Oryctolagus cuniculus: one gene and its partners. The protein of the gene in region 1 interacts with the protein of each later gene in a biochemical or structural test. Links are inferred from orthologs where the notes say so. Each region holds a gene or a part of one and is shown in the gene's direction. Other genes may lie near its edges.

The links.
Region 2: the proteins of NCK2 (region 1) and ERBB2 form a complex in vitro, tested with the Homo sapiens proteins (2 studies listed by BioGRID and IntAct, with this or other methods). The link is inferred for Oryctolagus cuniculus from reciprocal best matches to the Homo sapiens genes NCK2 and ERBB2.
Region 3: the proteins of NCK2 (region 1) and PDGFRB form a complex in vitro, tested with the Homo sapiens proteins (2 studies listed by BioGRID). The link is inferred for Oryctolagus cuniculus from reciprocal best matches to the Homo sapiens genes NCK2 and PDGFRB.
Region 4: the proteins of NCK2 (region 1) and LIMS1 form a complex in vitro, tested with the Homo sapiens proteins (4 studies listed by BioGRID and IntAct, with this or other methods). The link is inferred for Oryctolagus cuniculus from reciprocal best matches to the Homo sapiens genes NCK2 and LIMS1.

Annotation. Positions count from the first base shown.
Region 1 is NC_091433.1:102,702,010-102,704,251, reverse strand, and holds the end of NCK2 (cytoplasmic protein NCK2), read left to right. Parts: intron 1-633; coding exon 634-828; 3' UTR 829-1,695; downstream 1,696-2,242. UniProt on the Homo sapiens protein: Adapter protein which associates with tyrosine-phosphorylated growth factor receptors or their cellular substrates. Maintains low levels of EIF2S1 phosphorylation by promoting its dephosphorylation by PP1.
Region 2 is NC_091448.1:22,692,041-22,696,338, reverse strand, and holds the start of ERBB2 (receptor tyrosine-protein kinase erbB-2), read left to right. Parts: upstream 1-1,452; 5' UTR 1,453-1,673; coding exon 1,674-1,746; intron 1,747-4,298. UniProt on the Homo sapiens protein: Protein tyrosine kinase that is part of several cell surface receptor complexes, but that apparently needs a coreceptor for ligand binding. Essential component of a neuregulin-receptor complex, although neuregulins do not interact with it alone.
Region 3 is NC_091437.1:37,460,059-37,464,114, reverse strand, and holds the start of PDGFRB (platelet-derived growth factor receptor beta), read left to right. Parts: upstream 1-1,205; 5' UTR 1,206-1,650; intron 1,651-4,056. UniProt on the Homo sapiens protein: Tyrosine-protein kinase that acts as a cell-surface receptor for homodimeric PDGFB and PDGFD and for heterodimers formed by PDGFA and PDGFB, and plays an essential role in the regulation of embryonic development, cell proliferation, survival, differentiation, chemotaxis and migration.
Region 4 is NC_091433.1:100,159,080-100,163,325, reverse strand, and holds the start of LIMS1 (LIM and senescent cell antigen-like-containing domain protein 1), read left to right. Parts: upstream 1-1,402; 5' UTR 1,403-2,705; coding exon 2,706-2,887; intron 2,888-4,246. UniProt on the Homo sapiens protein: Within the IPP (ILK-PINCH-PARVIN) complex, binds to F-actin, promoting F-actin bundling, a process required to generate force for actin cytoskeleton reorganization and subsequent dynamic cell adhesion events such as cell spreading and migration.

The DNA of each region.
Region 1 (2,242 bases):
AATGGGCACTGTGTGGGGGAGGTTATGCTTTAGGCTCATTGATTGGGACAATAGGCAGGGGCCAGGTGACGCAGCTGCGGGGGGAGCTCCGAGGGGCTGAGGTCACCCAGGGAGGCCAGGACCCCTCCCCCTTCCCTTCACTGCTGAAAATGAGGCAAGGCCCTCCTCCCTTTGTACACGCCAAGCATCTTACCAGCATCTTAGCCACTAGGCCAGACACCTGCCCTAGGCGTTTATTTTTAAATGGCTTAGACTTTAAAAAAAAAAAAAAAGGTTTAATTTCTAATAGTATTAGAAGTCAGAAGAAGGGAAATTTCTAGCCTCTGCCTGCATGGAAACCACTTGTCTTAGATTCCAGTTTCTCAAAAACAGCTCGGGAAGTGAAAAGTGTTTCCTAGCATTCGGGTCCCACGTGTCAAAGAAGGAGGTGTGTTCAGCACTGAATACTCAGCCAAATGAAGTCCTTGAGCAGGGGTCGTCGGGCGGAGCGGCAGGTGCCGTGGTAGACACCTGCGCCTCTGGGAACCCTGTGGCCCGGGGGTGTGGCCCGTGGGGAGAGGGGTGGAGTACCCCAGAGCGTGCAGCCCGCGCCCTCTCGGGCCCTGGTGTAATCTGTGCCGTTTGCTCCCGCAGCCCAGCGACTTCTCCGTGTCTCTCAAAGCGTCAGGGAAGAACAAACACTTCAAGGTGCAGCTCGTGGACAATGTGTACTGCATTGGGCAGCGGCGATTCCACACCATGGACGAGCTGGTGGAACACTACAAAAAGGCCCCCATCTTCACCAGCGAGCACGGGGAGAAGCTCTACCTCGTCCGGGCGCTGCAGTGACCTGTGCCGTGGGCCCTCGGGTCGGGGCCGCGCCGCGCTGCGCCCACCAGCTCCGGGCGCCACCGCCGGGTGCGACCATCCCTCCTGGCTGGTCTTAGAAGGAGGCGGAAGGGCCGAGTGTCTTCACTTTATTTCTCTCCAACTAGTGGCGGCAACCCTCTGCTCACGTGGAGACCCTGGGCACGGCTGGAGGGCCACCGTGCACGCAGCCAGGGCCCCCAGGCTGCGCAGGCCACGAGGGAGCTGTCCAGTGCCTTGGGGCCGTGCTTGCAATAAAGAATTTTCCTCGAGAGGCATTCTGCAACGGAGGGACCCGGTGACTCAAGATAAGACACGCGTTTTGGTCGTTGACCCCTGAAGTGTGCCATCCACGTAGCGCTGTTTGCTCTTGCCTGCAGCTCCTTTGAACTTCACGGTGATGTATTCAGTTCTCCAAGTCCTACGTATCTGTAGCTGGTTGTTGACACTAATGCGGGATGATTCAGGAAAACAGCTGATCTGTGGGGGAAGCGGAGCTACCAACACTCCACACACAAGCATACACACACCCACGCACACACATGCACGCTGTACACATGCGTGTGCATGTCTGTGTATGTGTGTGTATATACTTAAATATTTTATTTGCTTTACAGGGAAATTTTTCAGGGTTTACAAAAGAAAATGTGATTGGTAGTCAGAGACACAAGATGTTTATGAAGAAATCGTGTTCCCTTTTTTTCTTTACATTTGAACTTCTTTATAGTTTAAATATACAGTCTTGAGATGGCACATTCCTATGATGGAAGAAGGGGTCTTGCGATCCCCTAAACTTGCATACCCAGTTTTTTTGAATATTGTAATAAAAAAAAAAGTATTATGACACGATCCTGTGTGCGTTTGTCTTTGGGGAGACGCTAACTGCTGTGGGGGAGGGGTGACCGCTGTGTTGGGTGACTTCTCCCAGCTTGAAAGGAAGAACCAGGCTCAAGGGCAGGGTCAGGAGTGCACTCCCTGTGACTTTCTTGCCACCGCGTTTTTGAATATTGAAATAACCCCTGCTAACGAGGGAAACTCCAACAAGCTTGCTCTTAACTTCGCTCTTTGAGAATTGCTGGCTTCAGAATGTTTTCTCGACGGTCGCCAGCCAGAGTCTTTGCATTCCCGGTGGCCCTCCTCGGATGTTGCGCTCTGGCTCTCTCCATCTGTCCGTGTTTAGTGGATGGCGGCCGCATGCCAGGCCGTGGGAGTGCAACTCACGGCACGCGGATCAGTGCCCTCTTAGTGGACCAGGACTGATGCACATGGCGCGTCCTCCCCACCCCGTGCTTACCACCACCGTGATCCCCATTGTAGGGACCAAGACGGTTAGGCATGACGTCATGCACAAGGGGATGCAAACCCAGAGTTTTGGAAGGAATTTCAGAGCCGGGTG
Region 2 (4,298 bases), on another chromosome or scaffold:
TTCTTTTAAAAAAAAATATGTATTTATTTATTTGAGAGAGAGAGGTTTATTTTTCATCTGTTGGTTCACTCCCCAAATGCCCACAACAGCCAGGGTTGAGCCAGTCCAAAGCCAGGAGACTGGAACTCCATTCAGGTTTCCTGTGTGGGTGATAGGAACCCAAGCACTTGAGCCATCATCAGCTGCTTCCCAGGCACGTTAGCAGGAAGCTGAATCGGAAGCATGGTGCAGCCAGGACTCTGATGTGGGAGTCCTGCCATCTCTCTCCAACTCTTTTTTAAAGAGAGTCTCTCAAATTTTATAAACCCCAGACCCCACAAAACCTACATCTCTCCCACTATGAGTAAATCTGGAAGTGTGTACTGAGCAATCTTCATGTGCCAAGTGCCGTCTGAGTGGCTGATATGTGATGGAGCCGCGACTTGAACACAGGGCTCCCTGATTCCAGAGCCCGCTGTTCCCAGCCTGCCTCTCTCAGTGCTCAGCCCACGACGCAGGTTAGGAAACGTCCGTCTGCTTCTCTCTCCAGACCCCAGAGCAGCGTCTCACTCCTCTTGACCCGTACTGATGTGCTCTTGGGCTCCGGGGTGGAGTGGGGGGGCATTCAGAATTGCCAGATTTAGCAAATAATAATAAGGGTGCCCCGTAAATCTGAATCTCAGATAAATAATGAGCAATTTGTTAGGATACAATGTCCCATGTCGTATTTTGTCTTTCAGCAAAAATCGGTCTTCTTTCCAGGCGCACTGCCACCACGGAGGTTTAAGAGTAGGGGCCGGAATTCAGGCGGGATGGATGCAGGGTGGAGGGGTGGCGCTCAGCAGGCGGGAAAAGGCGAGGAACAAACCTGGGAGGGATTGGGTTCTGCGCGTAGCCTTACGGAAAACAAGAACGCTCGGCCAGGGACTGAAGCCCTGCTGCCTCCGATTTCACTGTCCCCTCCCAAATGTGTAGGTCTTGCTTCTCAGCCCGGACCAGATCCCTACAACAGCCGAGGAGCTGTCCAAAGGGCTCCTGGAGGCCGCACCTGGACCCCAGCTCATCCCCGCTCCCAGGCCGGCAGGTTTACTTGAGTGCGCCGGCGGGCAAGCCATTATTCGATACCACAACAAACAGGCGCGGGACGCGGTAGGATGCAAACTCCCCGGGAATGTTGCAGATCTAACCCGAGGCTTCGGAGAGACCGGAGGGTGGCAGCCTGGAGAATTCGCCCGCACTCCGGGGCAGGCGGCGGGATCCCTCTGCCCGGCTCTGCGTGAGGACTGCTGCGGGCAACCCCGGCGTCCGGGCGCTGGCACGGACGCACCCAGGCCTGCGCCGGGAGAGGGAGAAAGCGAAGCTGGAGTTGCCACTCCCAGACTTGCTGGAATGCAGCGGCGGGGGTGGGGGGGCGAGCCGTGAGCGCGCCTGCTCCCAATCACGGGAGGAGGAGGAGGAGGAGGAGGAGGAGGAGGAGGAGGAGGAGGTGGAGGAGGAGGAGGTGGTGGAGGAGTAGGATTGCTTGAGGAAGTACGAGAATGAAGTTGTGGAGCTGAGATTCCCCTCCAGCGCGAGCCGAGAGACTAGGAGTGCCCGCCGGCAGCCGCGCGCCCGGCCCCCACCCCCTCGCCGAGCCCCGCGCACTCCCAGCCTGGTCCAGCCGGAGCCATGGGGCCGGAGCCGCAGTGAGCACCATGGAGCTGGCGGCCTGGTACCGCTGGGGGCTCCTCCTCGCCCTTTTGCCCCCCGGAACCGCGGGCACCCAAGGTGGGTCTGGCGTGGGGAGGGGATGGGGTAGTGAAGGGCCCCCCCCGCAGCCTGGGTCTCCGGTCCGAAGTCCCAGGCTGGCGGGGGCCGAGGAGCCCGACGAGCCCTCCTCGCCGAAGTTTCGTTAAGTTCGGGCTTTCCCGGCGCGGGGCGCTCGGGCCGGGAGGGGGCGAGAGAAGGTGGAGGCGGGGTTGGGGGCGACCCCCACCGAAGCGGCTCGAGATCGCCCCTTTCTAGGGCCCGGGCGCTTGCCGGACTCCCAGCGGGCTCCGGGGACTTGTCAGAAAAGTTCTCCGAGATTGCGCCCAAAGTTTTCGCCGAGGTGGATTGCGGGGTGGGTGTGGGAGTGTGCGTGCGCGCGCGCGCGCGCGAGCGTGTTTCCCCGCGCCGAGCCCCCGCCAGCCTTCTCAAAGCCTTTCCAGTTGGCAGCCTCCGCCTCCGGACTGGACTGGGCTGGATTCCTTGGGGGGGGGTCCTCTCTGCCCTGCCCCTCCCCCCTCCCCGCCCCCTCCAGCCGCCCGCGTTTGAGTACCGGCTTCAGGCGGGGCCGGGGGTGAAGGGGGAGGTGGGCAGAGCAACCTGCCCCGCGGGCCGGGGAGAGTGGCCTGGCGAGCTGCACGCGTCCCTGGCGCTGGGGTCTGGGCGAGGGGGAGGGGCCCTGGTTTGTTTTGAGCCAGTTCCTACAGGGCCTGCGGGCTTTGTGACTTGTGGAGAGCCTGGACCAGAGAGGGGTGAGGGTGGGTTTCCTGGTTTGGAGAGTTCCACGGGCGGCATATCGGGGCAGCTGTGGCCAGACGGGGGTATCCCAGGGGCCGGGTGCTTCTGCTGTCTTTTTGCTTCCTGCTGTGAGGGGACGGGGAGGGTGAGTGGAGAGGTGTGTATCCCGACCCTGCTGTCCGCCTGCACGAAGTCAGGATAAAAGCTAACACACACTCTGTGCCCAGTACACTCTGCTGGGCCCGTGGGTGGTGTTTTGCATGCATTCCCTCCTTTCGTCTTCCTAACAGAAGGCCACGTTGCAGGTGAAAAACGGGGCCCAAAGAGGGAGGCGGCTGCTGGCTTGTGGTGGGGCTCACAGCCGGCCCAGGGCAGCACAAGCCTTAGCCGCACATTGAAAATGATGATTGGGGTCCACCTGAGCCGGTGGGGGGCACTGCCCCTTGCATCCCTGGGTGAGGGTGCTGTGGGAGCAGGGTGAGGTGGCCCCTGGCACTCAGGGAGTCTGGGGAGCTGTGGGTGGCAGTGCATCCGTGGTGCTCTCCCGGGTCCTCGCCAGGGCCTTGCCGCATTGTCTGCGAGCTGTCAGTGTGTGTCTGGGGCTGTGCCAGGTGGTCCTGAATTATGGTCTGTGTTTGTGTGTCTGGGCCTTGTGTTGCCAAACATCAGTCTCCCTGATGACTTGGGGACGCAGGCTGAACTCTGCCCTCTCCAGGAACGCCCTCAAGGTGCTGGGCCAGATCTGTTGTAAATAGCAGGAGGTGGCCCCATGCCTGCTGGGTGGCTGCAGAGGGAGGTCCCTGTCCTCCCTCCCTCCTTCCCTGGGCGTGCAACTTCACCTCTGCCCATGGCGAGGGGCCGCCCTCCTCTCCTTGCCTGGGAGCAGAGCAGGCGGTGGCGGCTGCGTTGCTGGGGTAGACTCCTCTTGACCGGGGCCTCCTCAGGTCCTCACGCTGAGTTACAGAGAGACACTGAGTGTGTTGCATGGGGAATGGTTACAGAGGCAGGCACATCCCACCCAGCAGCCAGGTTCTACCCCAGGGCTGTGGGCTGGGGCAGGGATGTTGGAAGGGGAGGCCCAGGGGCAAGGGCCAGGGGGCCAGGATTTTGCTGAGATCTTTTTCAGCGGTCAAGATTTGTAAATTGCACCAAACGCATCCTTTTCACTGTTCATTCATATTTTAATTCCAGTGTGATCTTCCCAAGAACCTCCTTCCCTCTTTCTACTAAAAGTGTTCATTTTCATGTCCAAGAAAAAAAAAAAACAATAGCAAAGAAAGGCTCAAATGTAAAAAGAAAAATATATTGACTTTCAAGGTCAAATACAATGCGCATTTTCTCCTGAACTGGGATCACCTGTACTCCTGCTGGATGAAACCCTTGCCTCAAGTTTTTAAGAAGTTGCAGTGCGCTTCCTGTAGGCAGGTGCTCAAGTGCAGATGGCTCCGTTCCGTCTCTAACAATCCTGAGACAGGGGCACAGGTGGAAAACTGAAGTTCAGAGAACCCACGGACTTGGCCAAGGCTCCTTAGCCAATGAAGAGGCCTTAAGAGTTGGTCAAAGTCCACACAACAGGAATGGCTTGACCCAAACCTTAGCCTAAAGGGATAGGGATGCTGTTCTGTTTTGGGGTGGACCTCCGAACCTGGCTAGGGGAAATGGGGCTGAGCTGGGGGGCCTGAGGTCCCCTCCCGGCTGTGGAGTCCTCTCCCTTCCTGTCCAGCCCATGCCTGCCTTTCTCCTGGGCCCTCTCAGCATCATAGGGGACTTAGGGCAGGAGGGTGTGGAGGCCACTGGGATGCTAAGGGCTATGGGTGAGGGGAGGCCTGGGGGTC
Region 3 (4,056 bases), on another chromosome or scaffold:
GACCCCTGTGGGGAAGGCGGGTGGGAGGAATGGAAGTGCCCCAGGGCAGGGGAGAAGGAGGGCAGGGGTGCCATCTGTGCTGGCGGGCGTGTCTCCTCTGGCATGCGTCTCCCGAAGTCAGGTTCTGCCAGCTCTGCCCCTGCCCTGTGGGCCCAGGAAGTGCAGCTCACTTCTCCGGGCCTCTGTTTCCTTGCCTGTGAAATGGGGACAAATCCTCTTCTTGTCCTCTAGGGGCTTTGAGCACCCAAAACATGTATCTTGAGATCTGAAGCGGTGTGCTGGGTGTCCTTGGGCAGATTGTATTTCCTCCCTGGCCGGTTCGCATCGAGCCTTGCATTTGCCCTCTGAGCATCTTGGGGTGTCCTTCCCTCCCTTCTGGGTCCCATCCTTGAGAGGCGCTCCCTGGTTCCCTCAAGCTTAGGTCACATGTCCCTCTCGGGGGTGGGGAGCCTTTTTTTCTGCCAAGGGTCATTTAGGTATTTATAGTATGATTCCCAGGCCATACAAAATGATCAGCTTAAAAATGAGCCTGCTATGGATTTATTGAATTTTAGGCCCTGCCTGTGGCTGCCTTGGTAGGGCCAGGCAGCCTGATTCCGTGCCTTGCCTGACATGGCCTTCAGGCTGGACGACCCCCACCCCTGAGTCCACTCTCCCCGCCTCTCCTCCTGCTCAGCCAGGGCCCCCGATCAGAGGCGGCTGCTATGCCACTGTCCCCAGCCCTGAGTACCCCAGCTGGCACACAGCAGTTGCTTAATATGCCTGCAGAAGAACTGACTGATGGCCCAACCGGCCCTATAGATGACCAGAGCTTTCTTGACAGCTGGGGAAACTGAGGCACAGGGTGATTTCTCCCTCTCCCCCAGGTGCCATGGCAAGAGGAGACTGCCACCAGCCACCAGATACAGGCGGCAGGCGAGTGAGGCCCGGCCACTCTTTAATAAAAGTGACTCAGCGGCTGGCGTGGGCTGCGGAATTTCTAAACATCCCCTCACATCCTGAGAGAGCAGGCGACGGGAGGGAGAAAGCAGAGGGAAAGGAGGAAGAAAAACAAGAAACGGGGAAAAGAAAGAGAGAGGGAAAAAACCTGAAATTGAAAACAGACGCACGCGCCCACCCTCCCGCCCGCCCGCACCCCCCTTCCCCCGGCTGGGCCAATCAGAAGCCGCCCTGCAGCCTTTCCCCCAGAGTGGGGGGGCAGGGAAGCCCACAGTGGTGCGAGCTCCTGGGGCCGCCTGGGCCGGCAGTCCCCGCCCGCCCTCTCTGGGACCCGGGACAGTTCTGCGAGCCAGAGAGGAGATCAACAGGGAGGAGACGGCTGAGCCCCTGAGCCCTGCCTGGCCGGTGCCCTGCCCGCTCAGCCAGCCAGACCCAGGGCGGCCCCTCCTGGCGGCCCTGCTCCTCCCCAAGGATGCTTGGGGCGTGAGGCGAAACTGGGCCGCTCCTCCCCTGCAGCCCCCGGACCCTCCGTTCTCCTGAGTCTCCAGGAGTCTGCCACGGCCCTTCTTGCCTTTCTACCCCTGCTGCTGCCCCTTGTGGGTCCAGCGAAGTCTTTGTGATAACGGGGAGAGGGCAAGAAGGAGGACTTCCTGGAGGGGGTGACAGTCCAGAGCCCGGGACAGTACTCACACCAGAACACTCAGCAGCAAGGTAAGAACTGGGAGAGGTGGGAACCCCAGTCCCAGTGCCCTGTCCCCTTACCCCAGCCTGTGCCTCTTTGGGTAGGTAAAAAAAAAAATAAAAAATGCGAAATATTTTTAACAAAACCAGATGGGAAGAGGCTGGGCGGCTCTGGGTGATGTCAGGACTGGAGGAGCCAGTTCTCTCCATTCTCCTGCTCTGGGATGGGTGGCCTCTGCCATTGCCCCCTACCCCCATGAGCCCTGCTGCCTCCTGCCCTCATCAAACACCCCCAGAAGTTTCTGGGGGCCATGTGGGGGCCATGTGGGGACCACCGAGGCACAGTACGGGCTGCGGGGCTGGGGATAGCTGGCAGGAGCAGGAGTGAGGGGAACTGGGGGATGGCATGCAGGGGGCAGAGAAAGGGGGCCTCGCGGGGCACTGGGGACCTCAGGGCCACAGCCCCTGCCCCTCGGCCCAGCTCTGCTTCTAAGAATCGGCTCTGGCCCTGGGCCAGCCTGCCACTAGGCAACCTCTGGGGATTTAAATGGATTTGCAAATTTTCCAGATTCCTGAGATGTCCTTCCAAACCCCCAGCCGCTGGGAAAGTTTTGAGGGTGAGGGAGGCCCCCGTGGCCGCTGGGGCTGGGGAACTGAGGCCCGGCTGTCAGATCTGGGGGCTCCTTTGCAGGCGCAGGCGTAGGCGGCAGCTCTCAGGACCCCTCTTCGCCTCCCTCCAGCTGGACTGTGCCCCTCTCCTCTCCATCCTGGAACCGGAGGCTGCCGGTGGCTCCCCAGTGCCCGCAGGAGCCCCAGCTGCACCGATTGGCGTTTGCTGCATGCCAGGGCTGTGCTTTGTGAGCGGGCTCTGCTGCAGTGCTCACCAGAGGCACTGGGCGGCTATTTTCCCCTGCTTTCCACGGTGGGGGGTGCAGTGAGGCGAGTTGGGGGCAGGTCTTGGAGAGGTTGTAAGCGCCCCTGCCTCATTGCTGCAGACTCGGGCCTTTTGTTCCTGCCAGGCAGATCCTAGAATCCGAGAAGGAATTTGTACCAGCCTGCCTGTGGGCATTTGCCCTCGCGTCCTCTGCCTGGAATGCCCTTCCTCATCACTTTTCTTCCAGGGATCCTCCCTGCTCTGTCTCTTCCAGGCAGCCCTCCTGGCTCCTTCCAGTCTTGCAAGTGCTTGCCATGCACTTCGTGTGGCAGCCTTGCTGCTCGGCCCCCTCCTCTTGCTTGTGTGCCACTTACGCATCAGAGCCTGTCCAGGCCCCAGGCTTCCCTGTCTTGCCTTCTGTCCCCTGCGCCAGCCCTGGGCACCGAGGGATGGCTCTGCTTGCCTCTGTCGTCCCCAGAGCACACAAAGGCCTTCATCAAGCTGCTTCACAGTCATCGAGTCCTCCTGTGTCTCACCCATTCGGGGACATCCAGTCCCAGGCAGGCAGGCACACTCTGCAATCTTCTTAGCGAGGCTTTGAAATCCCTGTTGTTACTCCACTGTGCAGATGAGGAAACCAAGCCTGGGAGAGGCAGAGTGGCTTTCCCAGGGCTACGCAAGTCAGTCTGGTTGGTGCTGGGACCAGAGTCTGTCTTAAGCCAAAGGCTTAACCCTCCTGCTGCCAGAGCGCTCCTGGCCAGGGAGCAGTGGCGTGCGTGCGGAGCCTGCCCCTGGCGGGATGGAGGGAGTGCAGCTGTCTTCTGCAGGGCCCTAGCTTGGTCTGCAGAGAGGAAGGAGCCTGTGTGGCCAGCACCCTGCTCTCCTGCTCTTAGACAGAAGTTACCGGGCAGCCCTCCCTCCTCTGTGGGGAGAAGAGCTGGGACTTGTAACTGGCGCCAGATGTGAGGCAGGTGGTGGAAAGCACCGTGCATTCACAGTCAGCAGACAGAGCACTGGCCCTGGCTCATTCAAATCCGTGTGGGGCCAACCTCAGAGCTCCTGTCCCCTCCCCAGGCTGCTTCTACATCTGGGAGGCAGTGGGCACCGTGGATAAACAAAGCCAGGCTCGGGCATCAGATGACCAGTTAGTGACCAGCCCTCTGTCCCTTCAGCTTCTGGCTGTGTGACTCTGCGCCAGGGCTTTGCTTCTCTGGGCCTCAGTCTCCTCTGTGAGCAGTAGGGCAGTTTGTGGGAGCCGTGAGATGACCTAAGGCGCTGAATGAGGTCCCTGTATTTCCTGGGGGCAGCCCTGAGGCCACTGGCCGAGCGGGGTGATGGAGCCGGGGGCCTGCACCTGGGTATCTCTGATTCTAGAGCTGAGTGGGGTCGGGACAGCCCTGGGGACCCAGCATCAGCTGTGGAGGCCACGCAGCTTTCCAGAGGTGGTCAGCAGCCCATCAACCCCTGTGACCGTGGGCCAGTCCATCCCTCTCTGGGTCTTGGTTTTCCTATCCATCCACCAAGGAGGTAGGCACAAATGATTGCCGAACTCCCTAACAGCC
Region 4 (4,246 bases), about 2.5 Mb from region 1:
ACCAGCAGATAGGAAGATGAGAGTGTTTCTCCCTCCCTCCATCCCTCCCTCCCTCACCTTCTTAAATTAAAATAAATAAATAAAGTATACGGGGCCATCATTGTAGCTCAGTAGGTCAAACTGCCACTTGCGATGCCAGCATCCCATATTATAGTACTAGTTCAAGTCCCAGCTGTTTGGCTTGTGATCCAGCTTCCTGCTAGTTCTCCTGGGAAGACAGTGGCAGATGGTCTAAGAGCTTGGGGCCCTGCCACCCCTATGGAAGACCAGAGTGGAATTCCTGGCTCTTGGCTTCAGCTTGGCAAAAACCTGGCTGTTATAGCCATTTGGAGAGACCAGTGGATGGAAGGGAAGGGATCTCTCTCTCTGCTTCTCTCCTCTGTGACTCTGCCTTTAAAATAAATATTTTTTTAAAAGTCAATGGAGTTTGTATACCTTAGATAAAAGGTTTTCGGGGGTAAAAAAAAAAAGTAAATGGGCCAGTTTTGTGATATAGCAGATTGGTCCACTGTTTGCTCTGTAAGCATCGCATGTCAGAGCGCTGGTTCGAGTCCCAGCTGCTCCACTTCCAATCCAGCTCCCTGCTAATGTTCCTAGGAAAGCAGCAGATGATGGCTCAAGTACTTGGGCCCCTGCCACCTACATGGGAGACCCAGATGGAGTTCCCAGCACCTGGCTTCATCCTGGACCAGCCTTGGCCATTGTGGCCATTTGGGGAGTGAACCAGCGGGTGAAAGATCTCTAATTAAATCTTTTTTAAAAAATAAACAATGGGATAATATTAGCAATTAATTTAAAAACTCTTATTTACGTATTTTCACTTTATTTGAAAGGCAGAGAAAGACTTACTATCAGCCCTCCTAGCATGTGTGAGTTGCAGAGAAATGTTTCTGCTTCAGTATTTATGCTGAGAATAACTGATTGGGGCTTTTGTTCCTAAGGAGAGGCTGATGGGAAGTGGATGTGTGACAGGAGATCTCTAAGTCTTTCATGGCCATCTTTTCTTCCTTCAGAACCTCAGCTCCCTTTTCTGTCTGGCAGAAAGAAAAGAGGAAAGAATTAGTTCTGGCATTTGGAAACAGTGCAAATATGTCTTCAATACTCTTAAACTGATTGATTAAATATTTTAAAGATATTTTCATAATATATGATACCTTTGATCATAAAACCAGCTCGTATTGAGGTGCCTAATGTTTTGGAGTTTTTGGGCCAGCTCTGTGGTGTAGTGGCTAAGGCTGCCACCTGCCACACTATTACCCCCTATGGGCGCTAGTTCCAGTCCTGGCTGCTCCATTTCACATCCAGCTCCCCACTAATGTGGTTGGGAAGGCAGTGGAGGATGGCCTAAGTCCTTGGATCCTGCACTCACGTGGGAGACCCAGAAGAAGCTCCTGGCTCCTGGCTCCTGGCTTCTGCCTGGCCAAGCCCTGGCTATTGCAGCCATTTGGAGAGTGAACCAGCAGGTGGAATATCCCTCTCTCTGTCTCTTCCTCCCTCTCTTTCTAACTCTGCCTTTCAAATAAATAAATAAATAATTTTTTTAAAAGTTTACAAGTTCTATTTAGGGTACTGTATGCCACGTACCCTCATTAACATATTCCCAGCTGCAAATAGAGGCAACCAGAAAAAAGCAGTAGCTTCCCCTTCCTGTGGTATCCCCTGAAGGGCCAGAAGCAGCTAGGTGGAAGAGACTTGGGGAAGGGCATAGAGCTTCCACCCTCATTGTGCCTCCACGTGTTACAGGGCCTGCCCTCGGCAGGAGCTATGCCATGAGCGAGGAACCTTGCTAAAAAATCAACATATATCAAGTTGCCCTTGGCCTCTGTAATTGTTGGATGGCACCCTGTGCTGCAAGGACTGAGCCCTGAGAGAGGTTCTGTGGGCCCTGGGACCTCATCATGGTCACTGTCATTACTGATAAGAATCCAAGAGAACCTGGTAGTATGGACTAAATACAGCAAGAATGGCAAAGCATGGAATGTCTTCTTCAGTCGTGACAAAGATCACGAAACACTAGCCCTGAGTTATGGGGTTAGCTGGGGTGAGATTGGAAAAAGAGTTACGATTAAATTCTAGCACTTCCCTATTTCTGCCTGCATGCATTCACTGAATGTTGAACTCTTGCTGTGTGCCAAGGGCGAAGGTGATAGAAGTCAAACACAGCTGTTCGCAGCAGGCTCCTGGAGTCCTGGGGGAAGGCAGCCATGGCATAGCTGGCCATCATGCCCTGAGATCCAGGGTGCCCCAGGCAGGGAGGCTCCCAGTGTCTGGCAACGCCAGCCTCTCGAAGGGCTCGTCGGGGGTGTTTGACAAGCTAGCCAAAGATTCGTATGCCCACCAAAGCTGAGAGCACGGTGCTGGTTGGTGGGGGTGAAGCCAGATGCCTGCCCAGGGCACTGTGGGTGTTAAGTCCTCTCTTCCTGTGGTATTCTTTATGGTTGCAGTTCACCAGCAAGGCTGCTCTGAACACCACTGTGCTCCTAGAACTTCCGGAAGGCCTCACAAAATGCAGGCTGGTGTGCCGACCAAGTGCTGTGCTGCTGAGCCCTTCTGTGGAGTGTCAGCTGCAACGCTGGCAGCTGGGCTGACATGCGTGGGAACGGGGGTGTGACGCTGGCAGGGAGGCGGGGAGGCCTGGATATTGTTTCCCCTGCCGCGTCCTGTCGCACCAGTCCCTGTGCGGGGAGCTCTCGGCTACATCCACAATGGCTTTCCCAGGCCAAGTGCGCCCCTGCGCTATCCCAGAGAATGAAGAGCTGTCCCAGACAGTCCTGAACAGCGTCCACCAGGCTAATGGGAGTGAAGATGAGAGGGCCGTGTCCAAACTGCAGCGCAGGCACAGTGACATAAAAGTCTACAAGGAGTTCTGTGACTTTTATGCGAAATTGTGAGTGTCTTTCCTCTGGACCTGGTGTCCCGGGCTCTCTGACTCCTCAGGCCTTCTGACCTGCCATGCGCATTTCTGTGTTCTGGGCTTTCTCTGGGGGTTTTCCTTTGTGATCTGAGGGCTCTGAGGGCAGCTCACGACGCAGCATGTGCCAGGGAGGCAGTCAGGTTGCCTTGTTGCTGTCACTGGATGGCACGCAGATGGGAAGGAGAGTGCTGCCTTCATGGTGAGAGTCTTTGTCTTCAGTGGGTTCCTGATAACAGTGCAGCTTCATGATGCTGTCCAGACGGGCGGTTAGAGTTTTTATCATCAGTGGGTTTATAACAGAAAAGCATTACACTCTAAAACTTCCCGAAGATGAGAAGCAGGTTGAGCAGTAAAAAATTGAAGTACTGAGTGTTGATACATATTTTTTTATTAACAGAAGTTTTAAGTAGGCTCACTGGGTTTCTTAAGATTATTGACCTCATTCAAAGTTGTAAGCTTGGAATCATTGCCGATCCCCGGTTTGTCTGGTAAGAGTTAAGGAGAATTTAACTGATCCGATTCCCTATTACTGTGATCACTTCTGCTGCAGCGTTTAACAGATGTCATTTAGCTTCACAACTCATGGAGCTCTGTTTGAGAGCAACCGGGGAATTGTAAGATCATGACCAGTATCTTTACGGGCTTGGTGAACTCTCCAGGTCATTTTTGGATGCATTTGTTATTGCATATTAAGACCAGAACATTTGTTCCCCATCCTGTGATAAATGAGGCACTTGAATAATGGAAAGCTAGATGGTGTGGGACTGCTGTGTGAGATGGGTCTGTGGAAGGAGATCAGGTTGTGGCAGAGGTGCGCCCTCGCTCTCCCTCTCTTTCTCACACACACACTCACACACACTCACCCTCACACTCTCTCCTTCCATGTCATCAACACTTTTTAGTGGAAGTCTTTTTCTGGAAAATTATCAGTTATGGATAATCTAATGACAGCTACAGTGATCACTCAAAACTTTTGAAAAGTAACTTCAGTCATATGTCATGTTAAATGTAAAGAAACACTTATAGAAAGTAGCGTGCAGAGAGTCAAGTTCAGGTGGCAACAGCAAACCTGAGCAGTTTGGTGGGATGGTGCTTGTTATTGAAGACTACTTCTTAAAAAGACACACTTGTTTCTTTTTCCTGTGTATGGGAAATACACTATGTGCTTGTTCTTATAACGTGTCTACCTATTTCCTAATTCTATCTGAGTATTTGAACTTGCATATAAACCATCTATAGTATAGTGGGTATAAACATAAGTGATACTCAAACATTTTGATCCAGGGATCTCTTTATACTCTTAAAAATTACTGAGATTTCCAAAGAACTTTT